Macaca mulatta: one gene and its partners. The protein of the gene in region 5 interacts with the protein of the main gene of each other region in a biochemical or structural test. Links are inferred from orthologs where the notes say so. Each region holds a gene or a part of one and is shown on either strand. Other genes may lie near its edges. The genes, in order: RALA, DLG4, SYNJ2BP, DLG1 and RALBP1.

What was found.
Region 1: the proteins of RALBP1 (region 5) and RALA form a complex in vitro, tested with the Homo sapiens proteins (3 studies listed by BioGRID). The link is inferred for Macaca mulatta from reciprocal best matches to the Homo sapiens genes RALBP1 and RALA.
Region 2: the proteins of RALBP1 (region 5) and DLG4 interact in a biophysical measurement, tested with the Homo sapiens proteins (2 studies listed by IntAct, with this or other methods). The link is inferred for Macaca mulatta from reciprocal best matches to the Homo sapiens genes RALBP1 and DLG4.
Region 3: the proteins of RALBP1 (region 5) and SYNJ2BP form a complex in vitro, tested with the Homo sapiens proteins (2 studies listed by BioGRID and IntAct, with this or other methods). The link is inferred for Macaca mulatta from reciprocal best matches to the Homo sapiens genes RALBP1 and SYNJ2BP.
Region 4: the proteins of RALBP1 (region 5) and DLG1 interact in a test that uses a peptide from one of them, tested with the Homo sapiens proteins (2 studies listed by IntAct, with this or other methods). The link is inferred for Macaca mulatta from reciprocal best matches to the Homo sapiens genes RALBP1 and DLG1.

The regions. Positions count from the first base shown.
Region 1 is NC_133408.1:88,668,857-88,672,370, reverse strand, and holds part of RALA (ras-related protein Ral-A), read left to right. Parts: intron 1-3,266; coding exon 3,267-3,441; intron 3,442-3,514. UniProt on the Homo sapiens protein: Multifunctional GTPase involved in a variety of cellular processes including gene expression, cell migration, cell proliferation, oncogenic transformation and membrane trafficking.
Region 2 is NC_133421.1:8,688,415-8,692,584, forward strand, and holds the start of DLG4 (disks large homolog 4), read right to left. Parts: upstream 2,808-4,170; 5' UTR 2,623-2,807; intron 2,598-2,622; exon of another isoform or gene 2,468-2,597; coding exon of another isoform or gene 2,456-2,467; intron 1,924-2,455; coding exon of another isoform or gene 1,870-1,923; intron 1,739-1,869; 5' UTR 1,736-1,738; coding exon of another isoform or gene 1,709-1,735; coding exon 1,679-1,708; intron 1,487-1,678; coding exon 1,362-1,486; intron 1,264-1,361; coding exon 1,094-1,263; intron 996-1,093; coding exon 859-995; intron 714-858; coding exon 569-713; intron 1-568. UniProt on the Homo sapiens protein: Postsynaptic scaffolding protein that plays a critical role in synaptogenesis and synaptic plasticity by providing a platform for the postsynaptic clustering of crucial synaptic proteins.
Region 3 is NC_133412.1:143,571,835-143,575,889, forward strand, and holds the start of SYNJ2BP (synaptojanin-2-binding protein), read right to left. Parts: upstream 2,812-4,055; 5' UTR 2,724-2,811; coding exon 2,660-2,723; intron 1,288-2,659; exon of another isoform or gene 1,099-1,287; coding exon of another isoform or gene 943-1,098; exon of another isoform or gene 892-942; intron 1-891. Other genes in the region: large ribosomal subunit protein eL39, read left to right, coding at 943-1,098. UniProt on the Homo sapiens protein: Regulates endocytosis of activin type 2 receptor kinases through the Ral/RALBP1-dependent pathway and may be involved in suppression of activin-induced signal transduction.
Region 4 is NC_133407.1:2,693,645-2,697,158, forward strand, and holds part of DLG1 (disks large homolog 1), read right to left. Parts: intron 3,446-3,514; coding exon 3,276-3,445; intron 1,449-3,275; coding exon 1,312-1,448; intron 1-1,311. UniProt on the Homo sapiens protein: Essential multidomain scaffolding protein required for normal development. Recruits channels, receptors and signaling molecules to discrete plasma membrane domains in polarized cells.
Region 5 is NC_133423.1:80,483,926-80,487,439, reverse strand, and holds part of RALBP1 (ralA-binding protein 1), read right to left. Parts: coding exon 3,171-3,514; intron 2,355-3,170; exon of another isoform or gene 2,213-2,354; intron 1-2,212. UniProt on the Homo sapiens protein: Multifunctional protein that functions as a downstream effector of RALA and RALB. As a GTPase-activating protein/GAP can inactivate CDC42 and RAC1 by stimulating their GTPase activity.

The DNA of each region.
Region 1 (3,514 bases), on a different chromosome or scaffold from region 5:
TGTCTTGGGGTGGGGGTCTGCGGGAGGGATAGCATTGGGAGAAGTACCTAATGTAAATGATGAGTTGATGGGTGCAGCAAACCAACATGGCACATGTATCCCTATGTAACAAACCTGCACGTTGTGCACATGTACCCTAGAACTTAAAGTATAATTAAAAAAAAAAAAAAGAAGAAGAACAGCATTCAGGTCCTCATTCACAAAGGAAACTGGTTAAGAAAGTCACAGCACGCCCTAGAAAAAGAGTGTGATTGGCCAAAATCCTCTTCACAAGTACTGCATATATTTAATAGTAATCATGGTGAAAGTTGACATAGTTTTTGCAAGAAATCATGTGAGTGGTAGGAAGCATCATAGCACTATGTAGTGCTGTACATCTTAGCCTGCATCACCCAGATACCATGCTTATTTGGCATTTTGTTTTCTAAAAGGATGTTTAAGACAAATACAAATCAGTGAAGAATGGCGTTTACTTTCTCTGTGACCCATAGTCTGTGCAGCCTATAGTCTATTCAGGTTAGAAGAACTGAGAGTTCAGTTCCAAAGAACTTCCTTTGAGTGTTGAATGTATTCGAATGTTTGCTACATCATGAGTAATCAAGTGAATGAAGTAATAATAGTAGTAGCACTACCTCATACTCATGCAACACTTACCAGGAGCCAGACTGTTCTAAGCATTCACATATATAAACTAGTTTCTCAAACAACACTGTGAGGTAGATACTACTGGATTTCATAGATTATAAGATGTACATTTTAACAGCTCTCAGGGCTATGTCTTATGATATGGCACCATACAGTTATAATTGCCAGCATTTTTTCTTGGAGTCTATAAAATAAGATTGAGAACAGTGATGTCTTAAATTTGACTTTATTTTAAAAAGCGACATCCAAATTTATAAATGAAGAAGCTGAAATGCAGGGAGGTTAAGTGGCTTGCCCCAGGTCGTGCAGTCAGGAATAGCATAGAGTTAAAATCCAGGAGGTCTGCCTTTGTATTCTCGTGGTATCTAATGTACAAGTTCATTGTGTGCTTTGGAGTTGGATTTCTCAGACCTGGTTCTACTTAAGTGTGACTCTGAGCAAGTTAACATAATTTCTCTGTGTATCAGATTCCTCATCTGTAGGACAAGAATAATAATGATACTAACTTCATAGGTTTAGGTAAGGATTAAATGAGAAAATATGTAAAGTCCTGAAAGTGGTGTTTGGCACATTGTGAACACTGAGTAAAATGTTAGTGGTAGTAGTGTGGTGGTGGTATTTAGGAAACATTGTCTAAGAAGCACAGAATAGAATAATCTGAAAATAAGGGAAGAAGGTTTTTCCCAATTTCTCAAGCATCACTATAGAATGCCTGCAGCCAGGTGCAGTGGCTCACTGCAGTAATCCCAGCACTTTGGGAGGGCGAGGCAGACAGATCACTTGAGCTCAGGCGTTCAAGACCAGTCTGGACAACACGGTGAAACCCCGTCTCTATGGAAAAAAGAAAAAAAAATTAGCTGGGTATGGTGGTGCGTGCCTGTGGTATAGTTGTGCTACTTGGGAAGTTGAGGTGGGAGAATTGCTTGATTCCGGGAGGTTGAGGCTGCAGCGAGCCATGATCATGCCACTGCACTCCAGCCTGGGTGTCAGGGAAAAAAAAAAAAAAAAAGACCTGCAAAACCAAGTGTACTTTGCTGATTTTTGCCATTCTAATATCCCTTTAATTTTCTCATTTTCTCTTATTGTAAAATATAGTCATCCCTCAGTATGGGGTGGGGGGGGATTGGTTCCAGGACCCCTTGTGGATACCAGCATCCATGGATGTTCAAGTCTCTTCTATAAAATGGTGTGGTATTTGCAGATAGCCTATGCACATCCTCCCATGTACGTTAAGTCATCTCTAGATTATTTTTAATAGCTAATACAGTGTAATTGGTAGGTAAATAGTTGTTATTCTGCATTTTAAATTTTGTTTTACTTTTTGTTGTGGCATTTTTTTGGTTTTTGATTTTTTTTTTTTTTTTTTTTTTGAGACAGGGTCTTACTCTGTCATCCAGGCTAGAGTACAGTGATGTAATTGTGGCTCACTGCAGCCTTGAATTCCTGGGCTCAAGTGATCTTCCTGAGTGGCTAGGACTATAGGTGCACACTACTACACCCAGCCAATTTTTTTTTTCTATTCTTTATAGATATGGGGTCTCACTATGTTGCCTGGGCTGGTATTGAACTCCTAGCCTCAAGCAATCCTCCTGCCTCAGCCTCCCAAAGTGCTGGGTTTACAGGTATGAGCCATTGCACCTGGCTGTTTTGGGGGTTTTAAAAGATATTTTTTATTTGCAGTTAGTTGAGTCTGTGGATACAGAGGGCTGACTGTACTTATGTTCCTATAGCTTCAACAGCTCTTAATAATTTCAAAGGAGAGACATTTTTAAGGTAGCAAATTAGTGAACCTAAATCTTACAGATTTCCTTTTGTTCGTTGATTTTATAAGAAAACATTTCTTCCAGTAGATTAATGAGATAACATTTTTTTAATATTTATACTGTTCCATGCAGTTATAAGCACTTCACATTTAACCCTCATAGCAACTTTATAAGGAATGTATCATTGTTAGCTCCATTTTATAGATGAGGAAACTGAGGTAAGAAGTACTTTGCTCAGACTTACATGACTAGGAAGAGCAGAACCATGGTACTTTAAAGTTGATGACACTTTCACAGTGGATAACTTACCTCTCAATGCAAAATTTATGCTCGAGGTCTGACTTCCAGTAATTTCTGGCACATTTGGGTTTTAAAAAACAGTTGGCAGGACCCTTGATATGATGCAATAAGAATAGCACTCTCTTGTTATCTTCCTCCCAAGAACCAATAACCCTGGTTTAATCATGAGAAAAACATCTGACAAATCCCAGTTGAGAGACATTCAACAAACTGCCTGCCAGCAGTCCTCAAAACTATCAAGGTCATTAAAAACAAGGAAAGTCTGAGAACTACCATGGCCAACTCGAGGCTAAAGAGACATGACAAAACTCAATGTCATGTGGCAACCTGGATGGGATCCTGGAACAGAAAAAGGATGTCAGGCAAAAAGCAAGCACATTTGAATAAAGTTTGGACCTTAGTTGCTAATACTGTATCAATATTGGTTCATTAATTGTGATTCGTGTACCATAGTAGTAGAAGATGTTAACAATAGGGAAAACTAGATACGGGGTAAACAAGAACTTTCTGTACTATCCTTATAATGTTATTATTTCTTTTTCATTTTCTCTTATCCAGGGAGCAGATTTTAAGAGTAAAAGAAGATGAGAATGTTCCCTTTCTACTGGTTGGTAACAAATCAGATTTAGAAGATAAAAGGCAGGTTTCTGTAGAAGAGGCAAAAAACAGAGCTGAGCAGTGGAATGTTAACTACGTGGAAACATCTGCTAAAACACGAGCTAATGTTGACAAGGTAACACGTGACTCTCTTTACTACTGCATCATGTTAAAATAGGTTGGTTTGCTTTAACTTGGCTCTCTTTTGT
Region 2 (4,170 bases), on a different chromosome or scaffold from region 5:
CTGGAAGAGCAGAAGAATTATCTATTCCTTGAGAATTTCATAAAATTAGCCATAAAACCAAACAGGTTTTGTGCCTTCCATGGGAGAGATCATTGACGATCTTTTCTAGTTCTTTTATGGTAATTGATTTTCCATCTCTTCTCTGACAACAGCAAGGATCAGAGGTTGTGGCTATTTCTTTTTTTTTTTTTTTTTTTTTTTTTTTTTTTTTTTGAGACGGAGTCTGGCTCTGTCGCCCGGGCTGGAGTGCAGTGGCCGGATCTCAGCTCACTGCAAGCTCCGCCTCCCGGGTTTACGCCATTCTCCTGCCTCAGCCTCCCGAGTAACTGGGACTATAGGTGCCCGCCACCTCGCCCGGCTAGTTTTTTGTATTTTTTAGTAGAGACGGGGTTTCACCGTGTTAGCCAGGATGGTCTCGATCTCCTGACCTCGTGATCCGCCCGTCTCGGTTGTGGCTATTTCATTGGGAATATCTGAAGAGGGACAGCTACAGGGATGTCATGGGACTGCATGTCATGGGTTAAACGGGATGGGTCATGGGGAGCTTTGGCGTTTGAAGGGCTCTCACAGGTTGTGATGTCTGGGGGAGCATAGCTGTCACTCAGGTAGGCATTGCTGGGCTTGGCCACCTTTAGGTAGACAACATCATACGTGTTCTTCAGGGCTGCCACAGCATCTTCATGCATGACATCCTCTAGCCCCACACTGTTGACCTGGAGTCAAGGAAAGCAAAGCTCAGACAAAGCCACAAATGGCCCAAGACAGATGGACTGGGATGAAGTGATGAACTTGCGCCTGCCAGGGCTAGTAGGTGAGACCCAGATTTGGGCTAGAAAATGGACTAGATGGGGTCCTCACCGCCAGGATCTTGTCTCCAATCTGCAACCTCCCATCCTTGTGGGCAGCACCCCCTTCGATGATCTTTGTTACATAGATGCTATTATCTCCTGGGATGTGCTGGTTCCCTACGCCCCCTGCGATGCTGAAGCCAAGACCTGGATGGAGGGGAGGCCAGAGGTGGGTGCCCAGGTGCCCAGGAAGCAGGCTTGGGGGCACAGGACAGTTGGGATGGGGGAACAAAATGAGTTACTACCTTTAGGCCCCTTGATGAGCTTGATCTCCATGACCTTCTCAGCTGGGGGCTTCCGGCGCATGACATAGAGGCGAACGATGGAGCCTGCCTCTTTGAGGGCCTCCACCGCTGCCGAGTGGGTCACCTCGCGCACGTCCACTTCATTTACAAACAGGATGCTGTCGTTGACCCTGGGAGCAGCAAGGTGGGCCTGAGCCAAGAGCTTCCTGCTGCCCTGGCCCTCCCTCTCCAGGGACCAAGCATCCTAACCCCTGTATCCTCTCCTCACCTGAGGCGGCCATCCTGGGCCGCAGCCCCACCAGGAATGATCTTGGTGATGAAAATGGACGGGTCGTCACCGATGTGTGGGTTGTCAGTGCCACCTGCGATGCTGAAGCCCAGACCTGAGTTACCCTGGGCGAAGGAGGGGAAGAGGGTCAGCTCCCCTCACTGCCCAAGTCTGGCAAGGCAAGTGGGGTGGGAAATGTCTTGGAGCAGCCAGAGCAGGAAGGGATAGGGTGAGGGGCTGGCCACGCAGACCACATGGGCAGAAAGAAAGGTACAGATGGGGGGCCAAGGGGACTGCCAATGGAGGAGCCTGCTCACCCTTTCCAATGTGATTTCCTCGTATTCCATCTCCCCCTCGGTCCCGTTCACCTGCAACTCCAGCACGGGACAGAAACACAAAAGCAGTGAGACAGACATTCCTGCCTCACAACCTGCCCGTCATCTGCTTCCCTCCCTTACTCCCTCCTTCCTTCTGCAATGGCCCTAGCCCCAAAATCTAAACAACTCACATATCCTGGGGCTTCTAGGGTATCTGTGTTGACAATCACAGGGGGAGAATTGGCCTGTTTGGGGAAACAAGAGACAAAAAGCCACCTGAGCCTTGACTCGAGAGGGAGCCCGTAACGGAGGGTCCCATCAGCGTGGCTACCCTTTCAGCCTCTTAGCCAAGCCCACTCTGCCACGCTGAGAGCTGCTCAAGGGCCCAGTCTCACTCCACATCACACACACACGCACACGCGTGCACATGCGCACGCACACACACACGCACAGATGCACAAGCACATGGATCTAACTCTGCCCAGCCCGGGGCCCCCTGCATGTGGAAGGAGGTGTAGGAGAAGCGGGAAGGGAGACAGCCAGACGGAGAGGGGAGCAGCAGATGGCAAAGAGTGGGGAGAGGGGGGTAGGCTTGGGGGAAGGGAGCTTCTCACCGGATGTAACACCACAGGGTGTTACATGCCTTATGTGCTACACATGGACAACCCAGGGATCATGTCCACCGGGTCCTGGTACCCACTTCCTGCCCCATCCCCCCCCAATCCCCCCATAACTACCCGGATATTATCATAATCCTCCCCTAGACTTGTCCCTCACCTTCACACACATTTGCCCTAAACCCTGCACCCCGGGAATCCGGGGTTCCCCCAGCTGCAGACCCCTCCCTTGGTCTCACCAACCAGACGTCCAATCCACCCCTTCCTCTAGGGACCGTGTTGCCTAGCAACGGTATCTAGGACCAGCCAAGACCCGGGGAGACCCACCTCCAGGAGGCCCCGTCGTCAGGACAACAGGGGGGTGGGGCGTGGCCTGAGGCCGACCAAACTCCTGAGCGCAGAAGGTTTCCGCTAGCCCCGCCTCTTCTGCCCTGGGCCCCGCCCAGCGTTAGCCAGGCCGAGAGGAGGCCGGCCTGAAGAGGTTTGTGGGCGCAGCGCATTCTGAATAACCTGCCTTCCTCGCTCCCCTACGCCCCTCACCCTACGCAGTGCAAAGGACGTCAGGAAGGGGGAGTGGTGAAAGACATCCGGGTCCTATCCCGCTCATCTATTCCCTCCCCCAACTTCATTCGGGAAGGGGTTAAAGTGGGGCGTGCCCAGGTCCCTGACGTCAATCGCCTGGTCTCTAGACTCCCAGGCGGGGCCAGCTTTAGGCTGGTCCTAGGGGCTTCCCCAATTGCCAGGGCAACCGAAGCCACGTCTCTATGGCAATGGGGGGAGGCCGCCAAGAGCCTCCTTCCGGGGTCCCCAACCTACTTCCTCCTTAAAGAAACATGTATTTGCAGTAGCCCAAGCCCAAGGATTCCCCAGTCTCCTTCCCGCTCTCCCCGTCCAAAGGGGTCCCTCCCCTCTCCTAGTGCTATTTCCCAAGCCTACAAACTACCAACCATTTTCAAGCTGTATCACAGGTTTCACACCCATAAATCGATTAACACCACCCTCCAACCCTTCACATCTCAGCAAATGCTGTTGTCCAACCAACAGCCACTGACTGCCAAAATCTCATCCACGTGTTCATCCTCCATCCCATAGCCTATCCTCAATCCCCATCCCATCCCTATCCTGGAACCTCCTTCCCAGCACACCCACCTTCATCCACTACGACATTCATTTGCTTCCCATCCCTGTCTCTGCCCGCATCCCACACGCTCCATCTCCATCCCTGTCTCGCCCTTCAACATCCATCTTCCAACCCTAGCCTCCAGCCTCCATTCTCCATCCGCTTCCCTGGCCCTATCACACCCTCCAGCCCCATCCCTTACCAATGTCGTGGCCTCATCCTCCATCGCAATTTCTTTTTTTCTTTTTTTCCCGAGACAGAGTCTCGCTGCGTCACCCAGGCTGGAGCGCAGTGGTGTGATCATAGCTCACTGCTGCCTTGAACTCCTGGGCTCAAGCAGTCCTCCCACCTCAGCCTCCTGTGTAGCTACAGGCACATGCCACCGCACCCAGCTACTCCATCTCAATTTCTGATTCCCCAGAGAGTGTATCACCATTCTCCCTTACCCTGCCTTCATACCCTCAAGATTATTCTCAAGTAACAATCTTACACTTCTCAATCAACTCCCCCTCTCTTCTGAAAATTGGGGCTTCTCTTGTTCCCCAGGTGAGGCCTTGTCTTGAGACCTCCACCCCATGCTTATGGCCTCCAACACTCTCTCCCTCCACCCTCTTCTGCTCCTAAGCTTTGATCCACAGTAGCTCTGTACTAACTACCACCCCTCAGGCTCCCTACCTCCTCTTCCCCCTGCTCAGGGATTTAATGGCCCTGCCTTACAAAAAGCATCTCTAGTCTTCTTTCCCTCACTCCTAGCA
Region 3 (4,055 bases), on a different chromosome or scaffold from region 5:
AATCCAAGAAACTTGGGCATACCAAATGAACCTTTGACAAAAGTTTAGGCGCACATAATCCATGACACTAATCCATTAAGATTAGTGATAGGCCAGGCATGGTGGCTCATGACTGTAATCCCAGCACTTTGGGAGGCCAAGGTAGGAGGACTGCCTGAGTCCAGGAGTTCAAGACCAGCCTGGGCAACAAAGCGAGACCTCGTCTCTAAAAAAAAATAATAATAATATTAATAATGATATTAGTGATGGGTTATATTACAATAAGTAAAACCAACTTCCAATTATTTATAATAGAAAGGAAGGCCAGGCACAGTGGCTCACACGTGTAATCCCAGGACTTTGGGAGGCAGAGGTGGGTGGATCATTTAAACTCTGGAGTTCAAGACCAGCCTGGGCAATGTAGTAAAACATTGTCTCTACCAAAAATACAAAAAAATTAGCCAGACCTGGCAGTGCACACCCATGGTACCAGTTACTCAGGAGGCTAAGGTGGGAGGATTGCTTGAGCCTAAGAGGGAGAGGCTGCAGTGGGCTGAGATCATGCCACTGCACTTCAGCCTGGGCAACAGAGTGAGACCCTGTCTCAAAAAAGAAAGGAAAAAGAAAGAAAGAAAAGAAAAAAAGACACAAAGTATGGATAATTCTGAAAGTTATATTTTATAAAGAATAATCTATCCATGATGATTAAGCTACTGCAGAACTGCAGTGAGAAAAGGTGATGGGCTGTCCTAGGTGGTGGCAAGGGAAAAAGGAGTGAAAGGATTTCAGGAACATTTCAGAGATGGAGCTCATAGTACCTGATGATTTATTAGAGACTCTTGGAATACAGTATTAGTAGGATCTACTGTGTCAGTTTAGCTATTTATCCATTAACAATAACAACAGTACCCCCTCTTTTCCTTTCTCCGCCATCGTGGTGTGTTCTTGCTTCCACTTCTCGCCATGTCTTCTCACAAGACTTTCAGGATTAAGCGATTCCTGGCCAAGAAACAAAAGCAAAATCGTCCCATTCCCCAGTGGATTCGGATGAAAACTGGAAATAAAATAAGGTACAACTCCAAAAGGAGACATTGGAGAAGAACCAAGCTGGGTCTATAAGGAATTGCACATGAGATGGCACATATATTTGTGCTGTCTGAAGGTCACGATCACATTACCATATCAAACTGAAAATGTCACCACTCTCTGGAGAGTTCGACGTATTTTCCTCTCTGAATCTATTATGAATGCATTGGTTGGCTGGGTTCAGTAATAAATATGTGAGGACTTTCATTCCAAAAAAAGAAAAAAAAACAATAACAACAGTAGGAAACACATACTGCTTACCATAGGTCAGGCAATATTGTAAACATTTTACATAGATTAACTCATTTCATTCTCACAACACTATGAAGTATATTTATAACCATCCCCATTTTAGAGATGATAACCTAAGGCTTACATCAGTTAGGTGAGCCAATAAGTATCAAAGAATCAGTAAGCGGTTAGATACAAGATTTGAACCCAGATACTGTAATTCCAAAGCTAAAGCTCTTAATCGATCAACTAAATAGCTGTAAAGGAAAATAAACAAAGTCGAAAGAAGGCAGAATGTAGTAATGTCAAGAGCCCAGTTTAATGAAGAGCCTCAGTGGGGTAAGAGGATAGCAGTTTGGCTGCTCAAAATCACATGAGGTGTTCATAAAAAAAACTTAAATAAATAAATAAATAAAATAAATCCGTACTGAATCCAAATCCCTGCAGATAGGAGATAAGAATTAACTTTTTTTTCTTTTTTTTTCTTTTTTTTTTTTTTTTTTGAGACGGAGTCTTGCTCTGTGCCCCAGGCTGGAGTGCAGTGGCGCGATCTCGGCTCACTGCAAGCTCCGCCTCCCGGGTTCACGCCATTCTCCTGCCTCAGCCTCCCGAGTAGCTGGGACTACAGGCGCCCGCCACCTCGCCCGGCTAATTTTCTTGTATTTTTAGTAGAGACGGGGTTTCACCGTGTTAGCCAGGATGGTCTCGATCTCCTGACCTCGTGATCCGCCCGTCTCGGCCTCCCAAAGTGCTGGGATTACAGGCTTGAGCCACCGCGCCCGGCCTTTTTTTTTTTTTTTTTTAAAGCCCTGGGAAATTTTGTGGCGGAACCAAGTTTGAGAACCTGTGTAATAAAAGATTTCTAAGGGCTCTTCCTGCTTTAACATTCTAGTTGGCACTGTAAATGAATTTCCCAGAAATCAAAGGAGCGAGGGAGGGATCCTAGCTGCAGGAAAACGGCTATGCATTCAGAGTCTACACCGCTTATGCTCCCATTTTACTAAACGGTCCCTCATAGCGTGAAGGATAGAACAGGCAACGGTAGGAAGGATGTGGTGTCCACGACAAGCAGGCTAAAAAAGCAGACTTTTAAAAAGACTTTTCTAGCACGATTTGCAGAAAGAACCCTTTCGTGACTATATATATTTGTGGTCATCCGACTGGATTTTGAGGTGGATTCCTCAGATCCGTATCTGGCTAATGATGGATTTCAACATATTTTCTCTAAGCACCCCAAAGCGTTGCACGAAACCTCTAGGTTGGGGCCTGCCCCGAGGCCAGGTGAATCCGGCTCAGCAGCAGAGATGTCTGCAATTACACCCTCTAATCCCCTACTATCAGATATGACCCGTTCCGCACATACCTGAGGGTCCTCTGGTAAGATTGATCTCTTCCTCAGCGACCAAATAAACCACTCTTCCGTTCATGATTTACAGCTCGTCTGGCTTCCTACTCGGGTCAGCTGGAGTTCCGCACAGGAGAAGGTGAATCAATCTCGGCGCTGCTGCCCACAGCACAGCACTTTCGGTTTCAGCAGCCTCGAGACCCGGAAAAGGAAGCCCGAAGGACTCAGAGCGCTGGGAATGCTGGGAATCGTGGTTCCTGCCGCCAACGGATTGCAGTTTCTCACCAGTTCCCAAGGCCACGCATGAGGTGAGCAAGGGGCAAGTTATTCTAATTTGCCATTGGAAGGAGGTGGGAAGGGGTGGCTAGTAAAAGTAAGGGACCTAAATAAATTGATATTGTCGAGAAAAAATTTTTTAAAAAAATCCCCTGCCATCCTAGAAAATCTCCACAAATTTAGAAAAGAAAAAAAAGTTGTATTATTCTGTAAACATCGAACCAGACCGGAATGAGTGTCACAGGCAATCCACTAATGAGATTGCAAAGAGAGACAACAATATCACCTTTTATGTAGCTAAAGCACACGCACGTTCTCAAGTAAGACGAGTTAACATGGTTTGATATTCAATTTTTGGTAGTTCACCGTTGGAGTGGCCGTCTGTGTTGGTTAATTGCCTTTATCCAAAGGAAAAATAAAACGTTATCTCTGTGACAAACAGGTACTTACGGCTTGGAGCAAGTCGCTTAGGGTAACTCCCGCGAGCGTGGATCATAGGGGCACTGTCTACCTTGATAGTTACATTTCAAGGAGTTGGCTCCCGGGACCTGAAGAAAAAGATTCCTGGGTTCTATCTGACAAGAGGCTTATTTAGCTTTTAAAAAGTTACACACACACACACACACACGCACACACACACACGGATTATAATTAGAATTTGCTCAAGAAAATTTTTTAAGAAAGGGGACTAGGGGAATGGCTCATCCTTTTGGCAACTGGGAAAATTCAGTCTTTTTAATGTTTTAACTCTTACAATAAGGTTAACTCACGACTTAGGTATAACTTTAGGCCAGTCTTCCTGACTTTTGGAATGAGATATTCCAAACTGAACTTGAATGAAACTTCAGGGGTCAAAAACACAAAAGCCTAAAGAACCAGGAAGGTGACAACCTTGTGAAGCAACCTGGAGTTAGACCACAGCGATTGGTGGGGATCTTAGAGGAGTAGAAAGTGCAAGGCCAATATAAAGACATTCAAATTTATAGTAAAAAACCAAAGCAGCAGCAACTATGTTTACCAAACAGAAGGAGATAGGGGCAGATTCGGCAGGAAGGCCTCTTGTTTGCTCACTCTGAGAGAAGTAAAGATGGAATAGTGGAGGCTGGGCGCAGTGGTTCACGCCTGTAATCCCAGCACT
Region 4 (3,514 bases), on a different chromosome or scaffold from region 5:
CTGAGACAGTTATTGATTGATATGGTATGGCTCTGTGTCCCCACCCAAATGTCATCCTGAATTGTAATCCCCACGTGTTGAGGGAGGGACCTTGTAGAAGGTGATTAGATCATGGAGGTGGCTCCCGATGATACTCTCTTGATAGTGAGTGAGTCTCATGAGATGAGACTGTTTTATAAGCATCTAGCATCTCCCCTGCTGGCATGTGAAGAAGAGTGTGTTTGCTTTCCCCCACCCCCAACACCATGATTGTAAGTTTCCTGAGGCTGGTGAGTCCATTAAACCTCTTTCCTTTATAAATTACCCAGTCTCGGGTAATTCTGCATAGCAGTGTGAAAACAAACTAATACACTGATGAAGATTAGACAAATAAATTGCAGTATAGACATACAGTGGAATATTACATAGAGATAAAATGAATGAACTTTAGCTCTAAGCAATGATATGGGTAAGTCTTAGTAAAACAATATTAAGCAAAAAAAATACTGGAGACGAAAGTCTCATACAGTGCAACAGCGTTCTGAAAAACCTTCAAAAGAATACTAAACAAAATTATTTAGGCATATGTATGTAATTAAACTTTTTTTTTTTTTTGAGATGGGCTCTCACTCTGTCACCCAGACTGGAGTACAGTGGGACAATCACAGCTCACTGTAACCTCAACCTCCTGGGCTCAGGTGATCGTCCCACCTCAGTCTCCTGAGGAGCTGGGACTATAGGTGTGTATCACCAGGCCTGGCTAATTTCTGTATTTTTTGTAGAGACAGGGTTTTGCCATGCAGACCAGGCTGGTCTTAAACTCCTGGGTACAAGCAATCTGCCTACCTCAGCCTCCCTAAGTGCCAAGATTACAGACAGGTGTGAGCCACCATACCTGGCCTAATTAAACAATTTTTAAGAAGCAAAGGAATAAGAAACACAAAATGGTTGATGTTCTAATTCTTGAGCTGGGTAATTACTAGATTTCATTATATTATTAAGTGAAGTAAAACACAAAAGGGTCATACATAAACAAATGATGACGCTGTTTTATAAATCTAAGGATTATGATGAAACACTCTGTGCATACAAGCCCTCAACCCTTCAACAACAATGAAGGAATAAAAGGAAAACGGAGGAGGAGCTGGCAGAGAAAACAGAAATGACAAATAAAGATATTACCAAGAATCATTTTTTAGGATTTGATACAGCAAGGCTAGGATTTGCTAATTTAAATATCATTTAGACCTTTTTGGTATGGAGAAATTCCAGTATCTATTAGAAAAATCAGACAACAAAATGATTTAAAAGACAACAGATTTCTATACTTACTGCTAGAAGCTTATCTCCAATCTGGAGTTTGCCATCCTTATGTGCTGCACCTCCTTCAATTATTTTGGTTACATAGATGCTATTATCCCCAGGAATATGCTGATTTCCAACACCTCCAGCAATGCTGAACCCAAGACCTGTTTGGAAAACACTAGTTTTAGATTCTCTTCTATAAATATGAACTTAAGCCCAGAAAAAAATGGTTGAAAACTACAACGTAATAATTCCACCACACTAATATTTTTTAAAATAGAAAAGAATCCATTTAGTTATCTACTAGTGTATGTTCTGCAATCAAGGGACACTTATAAATATAGCTGCTCCTAGAGTTATGAATAGATTCCTTTTATCCCACGTGTTCCTTCTTAGTATCTTCTCGCAAATGCACTTGTTATTCCAAAGTGACATTGCAAAATTATGTTTTACTTTTGTTTCCATCATAATTACGCTCACCTACACTTTCATTATTTTCACTAGAATAAAACAATTGAGAAGAAATAATATCGTCTGGTGGTGGTGGGCAGAACCAACAGGCTTTAAAAATGTGAATACTTTGGCTCTTTTTCAATATTCTATGAATTAACAACTTTAAGTAAGGAATTTCTGTAATTCTTAAATCCCATAGCTCCAACATCAGAAAATTTCTCAGCTCTCCATTCCTTTTTCATTTGTTGAAATCCTCCCTCTTCCATGAAGCCACATATTTAAACTAATATTTCCATTTATCCTCAATCCATCAATGTTTTAAAAATTCAGAAATCACATCTTTTTTTTTTTTTTTTTTTTTTTTTTGAGATGGAGTCTTGCTCTGTGGCCCAGGCTGGAGTGCAGTGGCCGGATCTCGGCTCACTGCAAGCTCCACCTCCCGGGTTCCCGCCATTCTCCTGCCTCAGCCTCCCGAGTAGTTGGGACTACAGGCGCCCGCCACCTTGCCCGGCTAGTTTTTTGTATTTTTTAGTAGAGACGGGGTTTCACCGTGTTAGCCAGGAGGGTCTCCATCTCCTGACCTCGTGATCCGCCCATCTCGGTCTCCGAACGAGAAATCACATCTTAACAGTCCTTTACTGCAGATGTAACTGCTCATAATACATATTAAAAGCACTTCTTCTTTTAACTTAGGCTGTGTATCTGCATTTAAAGTACTTTGTAGATTAATTATCACAAGTTAATATCAATACTATACTTAACTTCAAAGTATTCCAGGACACAAATATTTCACTTTTAACACTAGAAGTCTTTAATGTAATAATACTTAATACCAATAGGGAGAAATCCACTTATAAAACAAGTAGATATTTTGTTCCTTACTTTTAAAAATTCTTAAAAACGTGCTGAGCAAATATTGAATATAAAAATCATAAAAACTTATAAATCTATATATATGCTCACTGAGGTAAAATGTATAAAATGTATAATTGACAAACATAAGAATTTTGGGCCAGGTGCAGTGGCTCACACTGTAATACCAGCACTCTGGGGGGCTGAGGTGGGAGAACTGTTTGAGCCCAGGAGTTTGAGACCAGCCTAGGCAATGCAGGGAGACCTCCGTCCCTACAAAAACTAAAAAAATCAGCCCAGTGTGGTGGCGCGTGCATGTAGTCCAAGCTACCTGGGAGGGTGAGGTGAGAGGATCGCTTGAGCTCAGGAGACTGAGGCTGCAGTAAGCCATGGATGTACCACTGGACTCCAGCCAGGGTGACAGGGCAAAACCCTGCCTCTAAAAACAACCCCCCACCCCAAAAAATAGGAACTTTTCAAATGCTGCAATCTTGGTAGAAATGTAAATATTCTAAAATGCAACGTAGGACAAAAATCAGTAGAAATAACAGAGAAATTAAAATCCACTCAAGTTCTATAGAATATTACTATTATTGTTCATCTTGAAATCTATGTCACAGATAAAGTTCATAGGAATACTTAACTCAGAGATTTCTTAATTTATCTTAGTTTGACTTACCACATACCTTTAGGACCTTTAATGAGCTTTATTTCCATTATTTTTTCTGATACTGGTTTCCTTCTTTTTACATACAAGCGTACGATAGACCCTGCTTCTTTCAACGCTTCAACTGCTTTGCTATGTGTTACATCACGAACATCTACTTCATTTACTCGTAATATACAGTCATTGACCCTGAGAAAACAATTAAATATAAAAAATAAAAATTAAATATAATGTAAATATTAATTTTCCACTTCACAA
Region 5 (3,514 bases):
AAATAACTCCCATTTTCTTACTTTTAATGACAATATGGGTAAACCATAAGTGATAATAACTGAAATTCTTGGCAAAGATTTTTTCTCTTCCTCATGTATATTTAATTCGCCCCCCTGCAGTACCTACCCAACAAACTGTACAAGTAGACAATTAGAATGTGTGTTTGGTTTGCCATTACTCCAAAACTGTTATCAAAATGTTTTTCTTTTAAAAATTGGACACTACAAATAAAGTGTTCCACAGAAAGACAGAAAGAGCATACGGGTACACTTTAATGCAAAAAATACAAGAAAATGTAGATGAATAAATTAAAATGTATAAAATCACTTAAATTGTCTTTCATATTCGTTTAAAATTAGATAAGCAAGAACTAAAACTTCCAGCAAAAGGTCTTAAAATGAATAAGTGAGAACTAACATCTCTAGCAAAAAGCAGTGTTATTAGCAGCACTGTCCATGACAGTAGTATAAGTTGGGCTGACTACAGCACTCTGCCACAGGTTAGAGAATAAACCCAGAACTCAACAGAGCAGGAGCTCAGCCCCCAGCTGTTGCAATATGGGCAGCAGCTCAATCTGAATGCTTTACACACAGAGAAGAGGAGTTCTATGACTGAATTTCCAAAAAAATGCAGACATTAAAAAGTAGGTCAGAGACAAAAAGAATCCTTTGAACAAAGCTGTAGAAAATTTTCAGAGAAACTTTTACCTAAAACAAAACTAATTCATGGCTACTAAGACCATGTGAGAGAAGCAACTTACATTATTAATGTTTAAATGTTTAAAGAATCAATTCGGTATATTATTCTTTTTTTTTTTTTTTTTTTGAGATGGAGTCTTGCTCTGTCTCCAGGCTAGAGTGCAGTGCCATGATCTTGGCTCATTGTAACCTCCACCTCTTGGGTTCAAGCTATTCCCCTGCCTCAGCCTCCCAAGTAGCTGGGACTACAGGCGCACGCCCCCACGCCTGGCTAATTTTTTGTATTTTAGTAGAGACAGGGTTTCACCATGTTGGCCAGGATGGTCTCAATCTCCTGACCTCACAATCTGCCTGCCTCAGCTTCCCAAAGTGCCGGGATTACAGGCATGAGCTACTGCACCTAGCCAATTATTCTTAAAAATCAATTAGTTTAAATATGTTTATATAATACTAAGGAGTTATAAACTCAAATTCAATGCCTAATTTATTTCATTTTCTATAAAAAAATAACATTTTAGTCAAAATATTCTTAAACAATGGCATGTAATCTAGTGGATTATGTAACGGTTTTCCCAATTATCAAAAATATCTGCCCAAGGCCGGGCGCGGTGGCTCACGCCTGTAATCCCAGCACTTTGGGAGGCCGAGACGGGCGGATCACGAGGTCAGGAGATCGAGACTATCCTGGCTAACACGGTGAAACCCCGTCTCTACTAAAAAAAAAAAAATACAAAAATTAGCCGGGCGCGGTGGTGGGCGCCTGTAGTCCCAGCTATACGGGAGACTGAAGCAGGAGAATGGCTTGAACCTGGGAGGCGGAGCTTTCAGTGAGTGGAGATGGCGCCACTGCACTCCAGCCTGGGCGACAGAGAGAGACTCCGTCTCACAAAAAAAACAAACAAAAAAAAAACTGCCCTTTCTCAGCAAAACTTAAATATCAAATCTACCTTCTAGAATTGCATATGAACCAATTAAATGAAAAAACTAAGTTTAATCTATCTATTCTACATGTGTATGACTTAACAACTCATCATGAAAATACATGTGACCAACAAGTATTATTATTATTTTTGAGACAAGGTCTCACTCTCGCCCTGGCTGGAGTGCAGTGGTACGACCATGGCTCACTGCAGCCTCAAACTCCTGGGCTCAAGTGATCCTCCTGCCTCAGTCAACAATTAATTTTATAAAATAAATCTCTAAACAGAAACTGGTGATGTACCAAGAAACTGAATAATGGCAATGTAATAATTTGGAACACAGATGCTGCTACAGGTCAGGGCTTTCATCCTATCCTGGTATAAAAGTCATACTGCTTTGTAAGAAATCTTTTTTACTTTTAAAACTATACATATTGCTTGATTTAGATACCCAATCAAAACACACTCTTGCCAAATATGAAATTTAATTTGTATACATGTGGAATAAAGATAAATAGAAAATCAGTGATGCTAATATATGTAATAGTCGCATGTAGCTGACCAAAGCATTCACATATAGGGCCTAAACACTGACCACGTCTTGGTCTTTTAGCTAAAGTCAGGTGTAGTATCTGTTCCAAGATTTCTGGAGCAGGGAGACGGAACAGAAGCTCGCTTGGACCACTCCATGTATTGACCGGGTATTGCAGTACCTCTATGAACCGTGCACCAAGAAAACAAAAACCAAAACCATTTCACACCTCTTAGCTGAGCTAAGGAAATGCATTATATGACTGTGTCCATAAACGTGACTCTTGGCCAAGAAGATTCCTTCACAGTGTTAACTTTCCTTTTCTTGCTGATGACCCTTGTATCACTGAGCCTCTGCTTACAGAGGAAAGAGGAAAAAAAAAAAAAAAGCAGGCGCCTGGGAGTGGTGGCTCACACCTATAATCCCAGCACTTTGGGAGGCCAAGGAGGGCAGATCATCTGCGGTCAGGGATTTAAGACCAGCCTGGCCAATATGGTGAAACCTTGTCTCTACTAAAAATACAAAAATTAGCTGGGTGTGGTGGTACATGCCTATAATCCCAGCTACTCGGGAGGCTGAGGCAGGAGAATCACTTGAACCCAGGAGGCGGAGGTTGCAGTGAGCTGAGATCATGCCACTGCACTCCAGCCTGGGCGACAGAGCGAGATTCTGTCTCGAAAACACAAACAAACAAAAGAAAAAGAAAAAAAAGAGTCTGAATGCAGCCCTGTTAAGCAATGCTACCAGTATACTTCACTTCGCTTTACTCCTGGCTGCTGCGAGCTACAAACAACTAACGTGACATCCTCCTAATGGAAGGAAACATAAAAAACCAAATGCTGGAACACCAAAGAAAGGCTGGGGAGAGGGGTGGATTTCTGTGCAACTGGGAGGATCGAGGAAATGAATAAAGCTTAGGATCCAGGCCAAATTGTCCTCACAATATTTTTTCTTCCTTTGAAAAATGAAAGTGAAGTTAATTATTAAAAACCACCAAGTGAAGTGCACATTCCCAGTACCTGATACTCTGTAGATGCCTTCACACTTCATGCCATACTTCTCTACGTAATCTATACATTCACGGAAAACGGCTGGCAGCCGAATGCCATCATACATCATGGTCCTCTCTACTGCATCAGCCAAAGGAATTCCAAAAATGGGTTTGAGATTTGGAACATCAATCTGAGGCACCTCTGGCTCCTGAATTGGCTTTTTCTTTTTCTTCTTTTCCTTCCACTGTTTAACAACATCAGCTGCTGTCAAGTCTTTTGACTTCTTCTCTTTATGTTTTTCTTCTTTGTGCTTTTCTTCTTTATGCTTTTCTTCTTTGGGTTTCTCTTTTATTTTAAAATCCTTTTCCTTC